3 linked regions of the Pelodiscus sinensis genome follow. The protein of the gene in region 1 purifies or fractionates together with the protein of each later gene. This does not show direct contact. Links are inferred from orthologs where the notes say so. Each region holds a gene or a part of one and is shown in the gene's direction. Other genes may lie near its edges.

What was found. The genes of interacting proteins can lie anywhere in the genome.
Region 2: the proteins of FBXW7 (region 1) and RBM28 purify together in Homo sapiens (affinity purification with mass spectrometry, with the first as the bait; 3 studies listed by BioGRID). This does not show direct contact. The link is inferred for Pelodiscus sinensis from reciprocal best matches to the Homo sapiens genes FBXW7 and RBM28.
Region 3: the proteins of FBXW7 (region 1) and FMR1 purify together in Homo sapiens (affinity purification with mass spectrometry, with the first as the bait; 3 studies listed by BioGRID). This does not show direct contact. The link is inferred for Pelodiscus sinensis from reciprocal best matches to the Homo sapiens genes FBXW7 and FMR1.

What each region holds. Positions count from the first base shown.
Region 1 is NC_134715.1:55,467,503-55,471,248, reverse strand, and holds the start of FBXW7 (F-box/WD repeat-containing protein 7), read left to right. Parts: upstream 1-1,473; 5' UTR 1,474-1,579; coding exon 1,580-1,735; intron 1,736-3,746. UniProt on the Homo sapiens protein: Substrate recognition component of a SCF (SKP1-CUL1-F-box protein) E3 ubiquitin-protein ligase complex which mediates the ubiquitination and subsequent proteasomal degradation of target proteins.
Region 2 is NW_027465922.1:773,753-777,498, forward strand, and holds the start of RBM28 (RNA-binding protein 28), read left to right. Parts: upstream 1-1,161; 5' UTR 1,162-1,192; coding exon 1,193-1,355; intron 1,356-2,516; coding exon 2,517-2,660; intron 2,661-2,961; coding exon 2,962-3,056; intron 3,057-3,454; coding exon 3,455-3,530; intron 3,531-3,746. UniProt on the Homo sapiens protein: Nucleolar component of the spliceosomal ribonucleoprotein complexes.
Region 3 is NC_134723.1:40,630,797-40,634,542, forward strand, and holds the start of FMR1 (fragile X messenger ribonucleoprotein 1), read left to right. Parts: upstream 1-1,410; 5' UTR 1,411-1,676; coding exon 1,677-1,727; intron 1,728-1,731; exon of another isoform or gene 1,732-1,885; intron 1,886-1,952; exon of another isoform or gene 1,953-2,396; intron 2,397-3,746.

The sequences.
Region 1 (3,746 bases):
GAGCAAGAGACAGATTAAGCTTTCAGTGCAGTAAGAAAACTGAAGTTTTCTTCAGTGTGTGTGTGTGTGTGTGTGTGTGTGTGTGTGTGTGTGTATATATATATAAAAACACACACATATATATATATATATAAACATACACACACATATATGTTTAAGCTGCTTTTACGTCATCTACTTTTTTGTAACCTTTTGATAGGGGTGCTGTTGAATTAGACCAGCACTGATAGCTCTATAAATGCAAATGACACTTACTTCAAGTCATTTTATCCTGTAATCATTTTAAGCATTTGTGTTAATATGAACCCTTTTATTTCAGAAACCATATTGCTTACTTTAGTAAGCTGGTTAAAATGAAGTTTTTAAAATATTTGTAATGCTGGCATATAACAATATGCCATCACATGAAAAGGGAAAATCAGTATATGGTTCACTGATTTTATACCCTGAGAAACAGTCAAGTTTTTGACTGAGACCGAATTATACAGATGCAATTAGACAGGTAGAGAGTGTTATTGAGAGACCATATTTTGGTTTCAGCACATGAAATATTTTTGGAACAGACCTGGAAGCCTATGAGATATGACTACTCTTTTGAATTACTGTTGCTTTTCTGTGCAATTCTTCCTCTGAGCCAAAGACTTTGTGTAACTTTTTTTTCTCAAAGCTGCTTATCCTAGACAGTTCTATTGGGGATTGATAAGAGAAAGGTTATGTTTCAACTTACTTTCCTTTCTTGGTCCTCCTTTAGTTTAAATTTGTGTTTGTTTTTTTTCTTAAATGTTATCACAACTCATATAGGTTGGTAGCAGCCATTCTCATTTCTTTACAGAATTTTGTATGTTTCAGTGCAATCCTTTTGTTGCATACAAATTATTCAATTTACAATAAAATTAGAAAATATATATTGTAGAAAATCTATTGTAGAGTATAACAGGAAGACAAGTCTGTCATTCTTCTTGAATGTATTGACAGGTCCCTCTTGAACACTAGAGTAATAAAAGGTCAGTTGCTCTGATTGGCAGGTCAGCCTCCATCCAGTAATCCCTTCCCTGTTGTTGTTCTAAGCAATGCAACAGCAGTTCTTTTTTGAGATATTGAGCAGCTCTTGAATAGAGTGCATGGAGGATGTTGAGGGGTGTGGCTCTTTTCTGTTGGCTATTGGAATAGTGTGCACTTAGAGAAAGAACAGGTTGGATAGGCTGAGCCGTTAGAGTAGGTAACTGGACTTGAAGTGATGGAGAAGAACAAACTGTAGTGAGTGTGCAATTTAATGTATCTGACACCTTGAATCTATTCCTCTTAAGGTGCCTTTCTTCCTTTTATAAACCAGTTAAGAGCCTTAAAACATCTTACCTTGTAAAACTGTCTATATTTTACTGTTGAATTTTGCTTCGTGTTGGGACTCTGGCTGGCTTTTTTTTTTTTTTTTTTTTTGAGGAACACGTGTTTTGTTTTGTTTTTCTCCTGTTTATCAGTGTTAATTTCAGCCAGGGAACTGCAGAATGAGGCAGTCAGCCAATTTTGAGTATATATGGGAATGTACCAGTTCTGGTTTCTTAAGGAATAAAGTCATCTGATGAGCAAGTCAATGTGTGGATGTGGCTGCAGCATTATTTTTTCTTTAATGAAGAGGCTGGGCTGTTCGACCTGCTGCTCTGATCTTCTATCTTGCAGCCATACGTCAGACCAGTTACAGAGACTATCCACCGAATGTCCCAATCAACCAAAAAAGGTAACTATATAGATATTTATTTAAAATCTAAAATATACCATTAAATAGATGCATTATAATTTAGACTTACATTAAAAGAGAAATTTGAGCTGTTCCTAGCAGTTTTCTTGACCTTGCAGTAGCTATCCAATATCATTTTGCTATCATCAGGTTATGTAGCAATAGAAATGTGCTGCAGTAATTGATTTTGTAATAGGATCAGGTGATTTACTGGCTACAATGACAACCACTTGCTTGCTTGCTTGCTCTGAAACGTGGAACACTCTAATGGATGTTGTGATTGCAGCCTAGCGTTGCTTTGAAACTGCTGGATGCTTAAAGATGCAGTATCTTCTTTATGTCAAAATAAAAATTACTTTTAATGAAATTCTTCCCCAATGATATTATATGATAGAAGCATCTGACATCTTAAAATTTTAGATAATTTTTCAGTTTAGAGAAAATTCTCTATATAGAATCAGACGTCATCTTTATACATTTAACATGTAGCCTTTTTCTGGCAGTTATTTAATACATATTTTTCTTAATGTCCTTTACTCATTTCTTGAGAACTTGGCAAAACTAATGCTACTCTTTAAAGTACAAAGATAGAAATTATCTTTACCATTTTATCTACATGGGACATTGATGGGTAGGAAGCAAAATGCTGGCTCTGGTTGAAAATCAAACTAAACTAAACTGCAAAACTTCAGGTCCAGTTACGGATTTTACTGCATGGAAGTGACTATATATATCCCTGAAATTGAACCTGTGTTTTTATTTAAGTTTCTTATCTCTAAGATTTGTAATGCTGCTTTCATTTGCAAGGTACATTTGTGAATAAACAATATGTATAAGCACAAAATATGTCCCTATGTCTGATGCTGGTTTATATTTAGTCCTTTTCAGTCAAAAATTTTCAAAGTGCATTGTTAATATGTTTTTATTCAAGAATAAGCATACCTTTTTGTGGATACGTATTGGCTGCTATAGGACATTTATTTTGTGAGAGAGAGCTTAATAATTATTTCTGTGTTAAACATTCATTTTAACTTTTGTTATATTGTGCCTGTGCTGCACTGATAAGTAGAAAATAAGTACACCTATCAATGGGAAATTCCTGTATGAATTTTGAAGTCAGAGACAGATAAGTTAAAAGGTAACATGAATTGTGGATTAGTGTGCTAAAGTTAGGTGACCATGCAGTCACCTCAACCTGAAAATATCAGTCGGATCTGTATATTAAACAATCACTTGTTAAGATCAGGATGTTTTCAAGGTAATTTATAGAGTGCAGTGATTTAAATGTTCCTTCATTTAACGTTTTTCAGGGTTTATTTTATAGAGTAGTTGTTACTTAGGTCACAAATAATACCCCATACATAACAATTTTACTCTAGAGGGAGATGGCACGATTCACTCTATTTTGTGTCTCTAAACCTCGTTGATATAGGGATCAGGGGTCATTTTTTGAAGTTAAAATATAGGTTGAACCCCTCTAGTCTGACATCCTCAGGACCTGACCAGTGCTGAACCAGAGAATTTGTCAAACTGTAAGACAGATCTACTCAACACATGGCCCATTTGTTTGCAGCCCGTGAGGGGGTTGGGTTTACATGGGGCTCAATGTGCGGCCTGCAGGTGAGATCGTTTGAGTATGGCCTCCCCTGGGAGCACGCTCCACAATGGCAAGTCAATTTAATGGTCTTCTGTTGATATGTGTTTTAGTAGTTAAATTCCTGGACTGTCATTGCTCATTAAAAGTGCTGTCATATGCGTGGAAATGGGGTAAATATTGCATTTTATCAGTATCAGTAGAACTGATTTAAATGGGGCCTGTGTGCTGTGTAGTCTTGCCTTAATCTTTGTATTCATGCCCATCAGTGTGAAAGAATCTGTTTACGTATATTTGCATATATATTTGCGTGTATATGCAACCCGCACTTATGTTGCAGCCTTTGGCATGTGCTGTGAGTATTACTGTGTCTCTCAGCTACTCAACTTTCCAAAGTTGAGTAGCCCAGCCATAGGA
Region 2 (3,746 bases), on another chromosome or scaffold:
ATGTGACTCAGGCAACAGCGCCGCCCAGAGGGAACAGCCAGCATTTCAGCGTTACAGAGTCACAGACATTGGGCTACTATCTATATGATACAGGTACTGCCATCATGGTACCGACACAGACATATCTCAGTAGCTTTACATATAAAATAGCCCAGCCCCATTGACCTCGTGGGCAATGTACCATGCAAACAATGGTGGGGAGGGTTAGTTACAGGGTCCCCTGCACCCCGTAATTGGCATGGGTCGTTTAGTATTGTCGTTCTGGCGTGTGGAAACGGAGAACACTTGATAGTTTTGCAATAACTTCAGAAAATGCAGTTGCAGGACGTCTCACTAGGGATGTAAATTCTCATTCATCAGTTACCCGGTTAATATCAGGTCACACCGGGTCTGCCCCGGCTCCCAGCCTGCTCCGGCGCAGCCCCTGTCCACAGCAAGCGGGACCCTTGGAGAGAGGCTGCTTTGGACACTGGCGCAGCCCGACTGTGGGGCCCAAGAGACAGGGGCTGCTCCGGAAAAGAGCCGCCCCTGGCTGCAGAGGGTCCTCTGAGGGGCGCAGCAGGTGGGGAGCCAGCCCCCTGCGAGGCACTGTTAAGAGGACGAAGGGAGCCGTCCCATGACATTGTGGGACCGTTCCGGATGATCCCCAGGCCCCGAGGCCAATGGGGCGGCATCTCCCTGCCAAGTAACAGGGCTGAGACCCTGGACCCCTCTGGGATGGAGGTTGGGCCCCAAGCGCTGCAGCGTCTGGGGCCTGGGTTAATGCAATTGCGGGACAGCTGCATGGGGGGCTCCTATGGGGCCCAACCCATCCCTCTGAGGAGTTCTTGGGGGGGGGGGGGAGGTCACATGACACCCTTTGCTTCTGGCCATGTGTTCATTTGACCCCAGAAGTACTACCCCAGGGACCGGACTTCCTGTAGCAGGTGGGCGGGGCTTGTGGGATCAGGGGCGGGGCTAGGGTGTCAGGGGGCGGGGCTAAGGTGTCCCTATTTTTTGGTCATTATTGCCAGTGGGTGAAACTGAGGTCAAAGTTCAGGCCCGTAATGCCGGGCTGCCCCCCCCTCCCCCCCCAGCCTGGGCACAGCCCCGCCCCCCCCGCCCAGCCTGGGCACAGCCCCGCCCCCCGCCGGAACCCAGCGGCGGCCCCGCGTTTCCGGCCGGTCCCCGTTCGCGGCCGGACCCGGCCAAGATGGCGGCGCCCAGCGGGCGGCACGTGCGGGCCGGAGCCGGGGCCATGGCCGGGCTGACGCTGCTGGTGCGCGGCCTCCCCCCCTCGGCCCGCGGGCCCGGCCTGGAGCGGATCTTCGGCCAGCTCGGCCCGCTCAAGCGCTGCTTCGTGGTGACCCACAAAGGTGGGGGGGGGCTGGAGCCGTGGGGCGGGGGAGGTGTCGGGGAGGGGGGCTGGAGCCGTGGGGCTGGGGGGGGGTGTCGGGTAGAGGGGCTGGAGCCGTGGGGCGGGGGAGGTGTCGGGGAGGGGGGCTGGAGCCGTGGGGCTGGGGGGGGTGTCGGGGAGAGGGGCTGGAGCCGTGGGGCGGGGGGGGTGTCGGGGAGGGGGGCTGGAGCCGTGGGGCTGGGGGGGGTGTCGGGTAGAGGGGCTGGAGCCGTGGGGCGGGGGAGGTGTCGGGGAGGGGGGCTGGAGCCGTGGGGCTGGGGGGGGTGTCGGGGAGAGGGGCTGGAGCCGTGGGGCGGGGGGGGTGTCGGGGAGGGGGGCTGGAGCCGTGGGGCTGGGGGGGGTGTCGGGGAGGGGGGCTGGAGCCGGGGGGCGGGGGGGGTGTCGGGGAGGGGGGCTGGAGCCGTGGGGCTGGGGGGGGTGTCGGGGAGAGGGGCTGGAGCCGTGGGGCGGGGGGGGTGTCGGGGAGGGGGGCTGGAGCCGTGGGGCGGGGGGGGTGTCGGGGAGGGGGGCTGGAGCCGTGGGGCGGGGGCGGTGTCGGGGAGAGGGGCTGGAGCCGGAGGGCGGGGGGGGGTGTCGGGGAGGGGGGCTGGAGCCGGGGGGCGGGGGGGGCCGCAGGGGTGTCGGAAGTTGGGTGCAGGGGGAACCGGCAGTCGCTGTGGGGTGGGGGTCTAGTCTAGAGAAGGGGGGGGCAGCCGGATCCGTGGTGCGAGGGGCTGGGGCGCAAGCCTGAGGAAGCAGGAGCCGGGCGGGGGGGAGGAGAACAGGGTTAGCTCAGGGCAGGGGAGCTGGGTCTGGTGGGAGGGGGCAGGGCTGCCGTGGCGGGGGTGGGGGTCTGCACCTGGACGAGCTCAGGGGAGTGGGGGAGAAGGCGGCCTCTGGATCAGCTGGAGTCTCCCTGAGTTGTTTGGGCCCGGGAGGGGAGCGGGTCCTTGGCCTGGGGGGACCCTGCCCCCGCCAGGCCTCCTGTCCCTCTGTGGGCCAGGCCCTGGGCCGGTATCCTGGTTTCCTGAGAGGGGGCCTCCCCTGGGCGAAGCCTGGTGCCCTAGAAGGCCCCGAGCTCCCAGCCCTTTGGCAGAGCCTGGGTCTGTGGGGTGCCGGTCATGCTGCCCCTCTCTTGCAGGCAGCGAGACCTGTCGTGGGTTTGGCTACGTCACCTTCTCCCTGCTGGAGGACGCCCAGCGAGCCCTCCGGGAGGTCACCGCCTTCGAGGGCCGTGCCATCTCGGTGACCGTTGCCAAGAAGAAGCTGAAGGAGAAGCGGCCTGGTGAGTTGAGAGCAGCCTGGCTCTGTGGTTATGGGGCACCGCGGGCCACGGGCTCCTCTCTGTGCCCACGGCCTGTGTCCTTGGTTGTGACCTCTGGGGTGGTGATGGGACGGGGGTTCCCCTGCTGTGTCCTGACTCGTGCTGGGTGTGGTTTTTTTTTTTGTTTTGTGTTTTTTTGTTTTTGTTTTTTGTTTTTGTTTTTTGTTTTTTTTGTTTGTTTTTTTTTGTGTGTTTGTAAGTAAGGGAGCCGTGGGGCAGAGGCGCCCGAGCAGCCCTGCCATGCCGTGCTCTCTGTTCCCAGGTGCCCCGGAGACCCCTCCAGGGGAGCAGAAGCCGAAAAAGCCGAAAGGGCCCCCCAAGAAAGCCAGGCTGATCATCCGCAACCTGAGCTTCCAGGTAGGTGGGCGAGCGGGTGCCTGGCGCGCGAGGTGAGGTCGCAGCTGGGGGCGGCGCTGGTGCTGCCTGTGGCTGGTAGCCACAGCGGCGCAGCGAAATGGGGGGAGCTGGCATGTGACGGGCAGCCGCTCGAAGCGGGTCCCGGGGTTTGTAACCTGGCACCGGCGCTGCCTTTCTCTTGGCAAAGGGTGAAATTCGCGTCGGAGCCCGGCCGAGCCGCGCGTGGGCGCTAAGGGCACCCTCTCGCCCGAGGGGAGCCCCCGGTCCTACCCAGCTCCCCACGGAGGGAGGGTTCCAGCTGGCAGGGCACTAGGTCGGCCTCGGTGTGCTCAGTTCCCTGCGCCCCTCCTTGCTCAGCCCAGCCCCTGCGCGGCTCTGACACGGCTCCTTCTCCCCAGTGCTCCGAAGACGACCTGCGGGCTCTGTTCTCGCCCTTCGGCGCCGTGCTGGAGGTGAACATCCCCCGCAAGGCAGGTAGGGCTCAGCCGCCTGCTGCTCCGCGCAGGGCCAGTCGGATCCAGGCTGCCGCGGGGCGTGCAGGGGGCTTGTCCTGGCCTGTGGCCTCTTAGCCCCCAGCCTGTCGGTCAAGCCCCGTTTGCGACAGGTGGGGTGTGCTGCCCCCGGCTGCCGCCTCGTGAGCCCCTGTTGGGTGTGGGCTGTTCCCCGGGCCTTGCGCCGCGCCCCGAGCGC
Region 3 (3,746 bases), on another chromosome or scaffold:
CAGAACATCTGAAATGGTCTAGGTCGGAGGAGAAACAGCTAACAAGGGCAGACAACTCAAGCTACAGCCTCCATTTACTCTCAACATGAAGAACTGAGCTTGGGTTAGATCCCCAAGAGGAAGATAGGCCCCTTCTTAACAGCACCTGCAGGGTTTTAATTCAGATCAAACAATTAGTGCAAAATGCGTGGCAGGTGATTAGCCAGCTTAGTCCTCCACTGCCAAGGGCCTTCTTTAGTTGTGCATCTAAACCTAGCACCACTGCACAGAAAACTCAACTTCACCTGCTGCATGATGAGAGTGATGCAAATCACAGGCAGCTGTGGTATGTGGTTACAGATACCCACCGGCTCATATTGGCAGATAGAGACTGTGTATCTAGAAAAATGCAAGCCTGTGGATGTCTGTTTTATAGGTATGAGCACTGGCAAATGTAAGCATCCATGGGTTTTTTCTTTTGGCAGATACCAACTTTGTAACCACCCAGGGCTCTGCCCAGGACAGCTAAGCCACAATCCTCTTCAGCCAACATTTCCCACGCGCTGCACCCTCCCCCCCGCCTCTCCCCTCTTTCAGCCATGCATCACTGCCCTCCCTCCACCCAGCACCAGCCCCCCAGTCTGACCCCCTCCTGGTCCCACGCCTCCAGCCTCCCCCACCCTCAGCCCACACCACAAGCCTCTCTTCACCCTTTCCCCCACCCCACCCCAGCCTCCCCCGTCTTCCGCCTTTCCTGGTCCCGGACCCTACATCACAACCCTCTCGCCCCACCCGCAGCCCTACTCCACAACCCTCCCTCCACCAGCCTCCCGCCTTTCCTGGTCCCGCACCCTCGACCCCACAAAACAACCCTCCCGCCTCACCCCGCCCCAGCCTCCCGCCTATCCTGGTCCCACCCCACAACCCTCCCTCCCAGCCTCCCCAATCTTCCGCCTTTCCTGGTCCCGCACCTCAGACCCCTCCCCCCCGGGTCTTCCCCCACTCCTGGTCCCGAACCGCCACCCACCCCGCACCTCCCGCCTCTCTCCCCCGCCTCGCCCGCTCGTTATTTTGGCGCCACAAGCCCTACCCCTTCCGTTCTCCTCGCGAACTCCACTAACGGCCCCCTTACCCGTCTCTTCCCGAGGGCCGTTGAACGCCGTGCTAACAGGCGCCTCGACGGGTCACGCGGCCTCCTTCCCGGGCACTCCCATTGGCCGCGGCGCACGACGATGGCGCGCCGCCATTGGGTGGCGGTGCAGTCGCTCAGAGCGTGAGCGGCAGGGGTGGGATGCCGTCGCGCCGTGAGGTTCGGTTGCGTGCCGCCGCTGGGGGAAGAGAGAGTGTGTGTGTGAGGGAGGGGCGCGCCGGGCTAGCCGTTAGGTGGACGTGAGCGGGGCGTGCTCGCGCGAGCTGATTTTCCCGCCCCTCCCACCCCGATCGGGGGGCCTGTCACGTGATGCGGGTTTAATGTTTACATTCGAAGCGGGCGCCCCTCTTCCTACCGCCCCCCCCCGCGCGCCGCCGGGTGGTGACCGTTTCGCTTTCATTTCCGGGCAGCCGCGGGCGAGGACCGGAGCCGACCCGCCCCCACCCCTCCGGCTACGGAGCGAACCGAGGCTCCCCCCCACCCTCCCCCGGAGAGAGAGAGGCGGCGCCGGGCCTGGGCATCCCGCACCGAGCCGCCGCGGCACAACATGGAGGAGCTGGTGGTGGAGGTGCGGGGCTCCAATGGGGCCTTCTACAAGGTACCGTGCGCCGGGCCTCAGGGGAGGGCCCGGAGGCGGCGGCGGCTCCCCCCGCCTGTGCGGGAAGGAGAGCGGCCCGGGCTGGACGGCGGCCTGGGAGAGCCTGAGGGGAGGTCGAATGAGGGAGGCCGCCGAGGTCTGAGGGAGCTGCGGGCGGGCTTGGGGCCTGCGAGACCTTCGCCCTGCGGGGGGGGGGACATGCCTCGCCGCTGTGCGAGGGAAGGGGGAGAGGGCACGGCTGGGCCTCTGCCCTCCCGGCGCTGTGGGGGACCAGGGGCGGCCTGGAGCCTCCGCGCTGCATCCCGGCGAGCCCCTGCCGGGCGCGGCGGAAGCTCGTGAGCAGGCTTTCGCGGTGAAATGCCCCCCCCCCCCCCCCCTTCCGCGCCGCTGCGGCCAGGGATGCCGGCACCCGCACGGGCGGGAGCGTGGCGGGGCCTACAGGGCCTGCCCCGGCTTCCTGCGAACGTTACGGACCCGAGTGTGTGTGGTAGGCAGCAGTGGGGAGAGCCTCCCCTGAGTGTGGCACGGAGTTATTCCTGGCTATTGTGATAGCAGCTCGCGTTGCCATTGTTGCTCCGTGAAGTGAAGAGCGTCGGTCAGTAGACAGGAGAGCATCCTTTGGGTTGCAATGGGCTGTGATCCAGGAGACTTAAGATAACACGCAACCAGGTTAGTAGAGCATGGGGTTAGGGCCTACTCCCACTGGAGTCAGTTGGAGCGGATCCAGACCCTTTGTCAAAATACTCTTCACCATGATGGGTCTGTTGCTGCAAAGTGCTAAGCCCTCCACTTCTATGGGGTGTTGAATGTTCTTAGTGTCTTCAAGAATTGAGCCTACTATTCAGCAGCATCGCATGTGTATGTTAACAAGGTAGATGTGAACTCTTACAAAACTGAATAGTTCACATACTGTAGCACAAGGGAGGTAGGAAGTAGGATCTGGTACCGAGATAATATTGATTTTCTTTTAAAGTTCATACTGTATACAATTTTTTGTTAAAAAAAATCTGGAGAGGAGAGTTTTAATATATGGTAACATCTCCTGTGTTTTCATAGTAAGAGAACAGAAAAAGTGCTAAATAGAGTGTCTGTTGGGTTTGCAGTGTTCCAGTTGAAATCCAAGATCTGTATATAGCTGGTAGGAAATAAAATACCCAGCATTCACAAAAGTCTCTTTTCTTTATCTCTTCCGGGTTCGTCATTGTTCCAAAAGATAATTGAAAATGTAAAGTATGAATTTTAGGGATAAACAAAGTAGGAGTTTTAAATGGCTGAAGGTTTGGGGTTTTTGTGGGGGGGGGGGTTAATTTTTTTTTCAAATTGTGCGCCAGTAATAAAGTGGCACTGGTAGGCAGCCTTTGTAGAAAGACATAATTTAAAACATGTATTCTCTCTGATTAATTAAAAGTATACAGTACTACTGTGACAAGATTATTGAGAGTATATAAAACAAATTTGACATACTTTAATTGCATGACATTAGTACAGAAAGTTCTCAACTTGAAAAATACTGTAATTTTCATGACCTCTTCTGGGTTTTTTTTCTAACACTAAACCAATACAATAAAATGTACTGGCTTACATGATGATGATGATTATTATTATTATTATTTATTATTATCAGGGCTCAACAAATAATGTAATCTACTCATCTGTGGCAAGTAGCTTACAACCTGGAAGAGCCAGCGCAGAGCAATCTGCACATGTGCAGAACCACGTGAAATCGTGCAGGTGGCGAGCAGAGCTCGCCGCTGCTTGGCGAGCCATAATTATTATTATTATTTCTGGTTAATTTGTGTCCCGGAACAAGTTAGGTTTATGATGAATGGAAAGTTTTGTTGGTTCGTAACAAGTCACTTTATTTCATAAATTGAGAGTTTGTTCAAACATTGTTTAGTACATCTAGCCTATTTTACAAACGTTTCTCCAAGCAGAAATGTATATTTTTTCTTCTATTTAAGAATTTATATAGCCTGTTTTTTAGCACATAGGAAGGATAAATAAAATTTTAAAATGGCA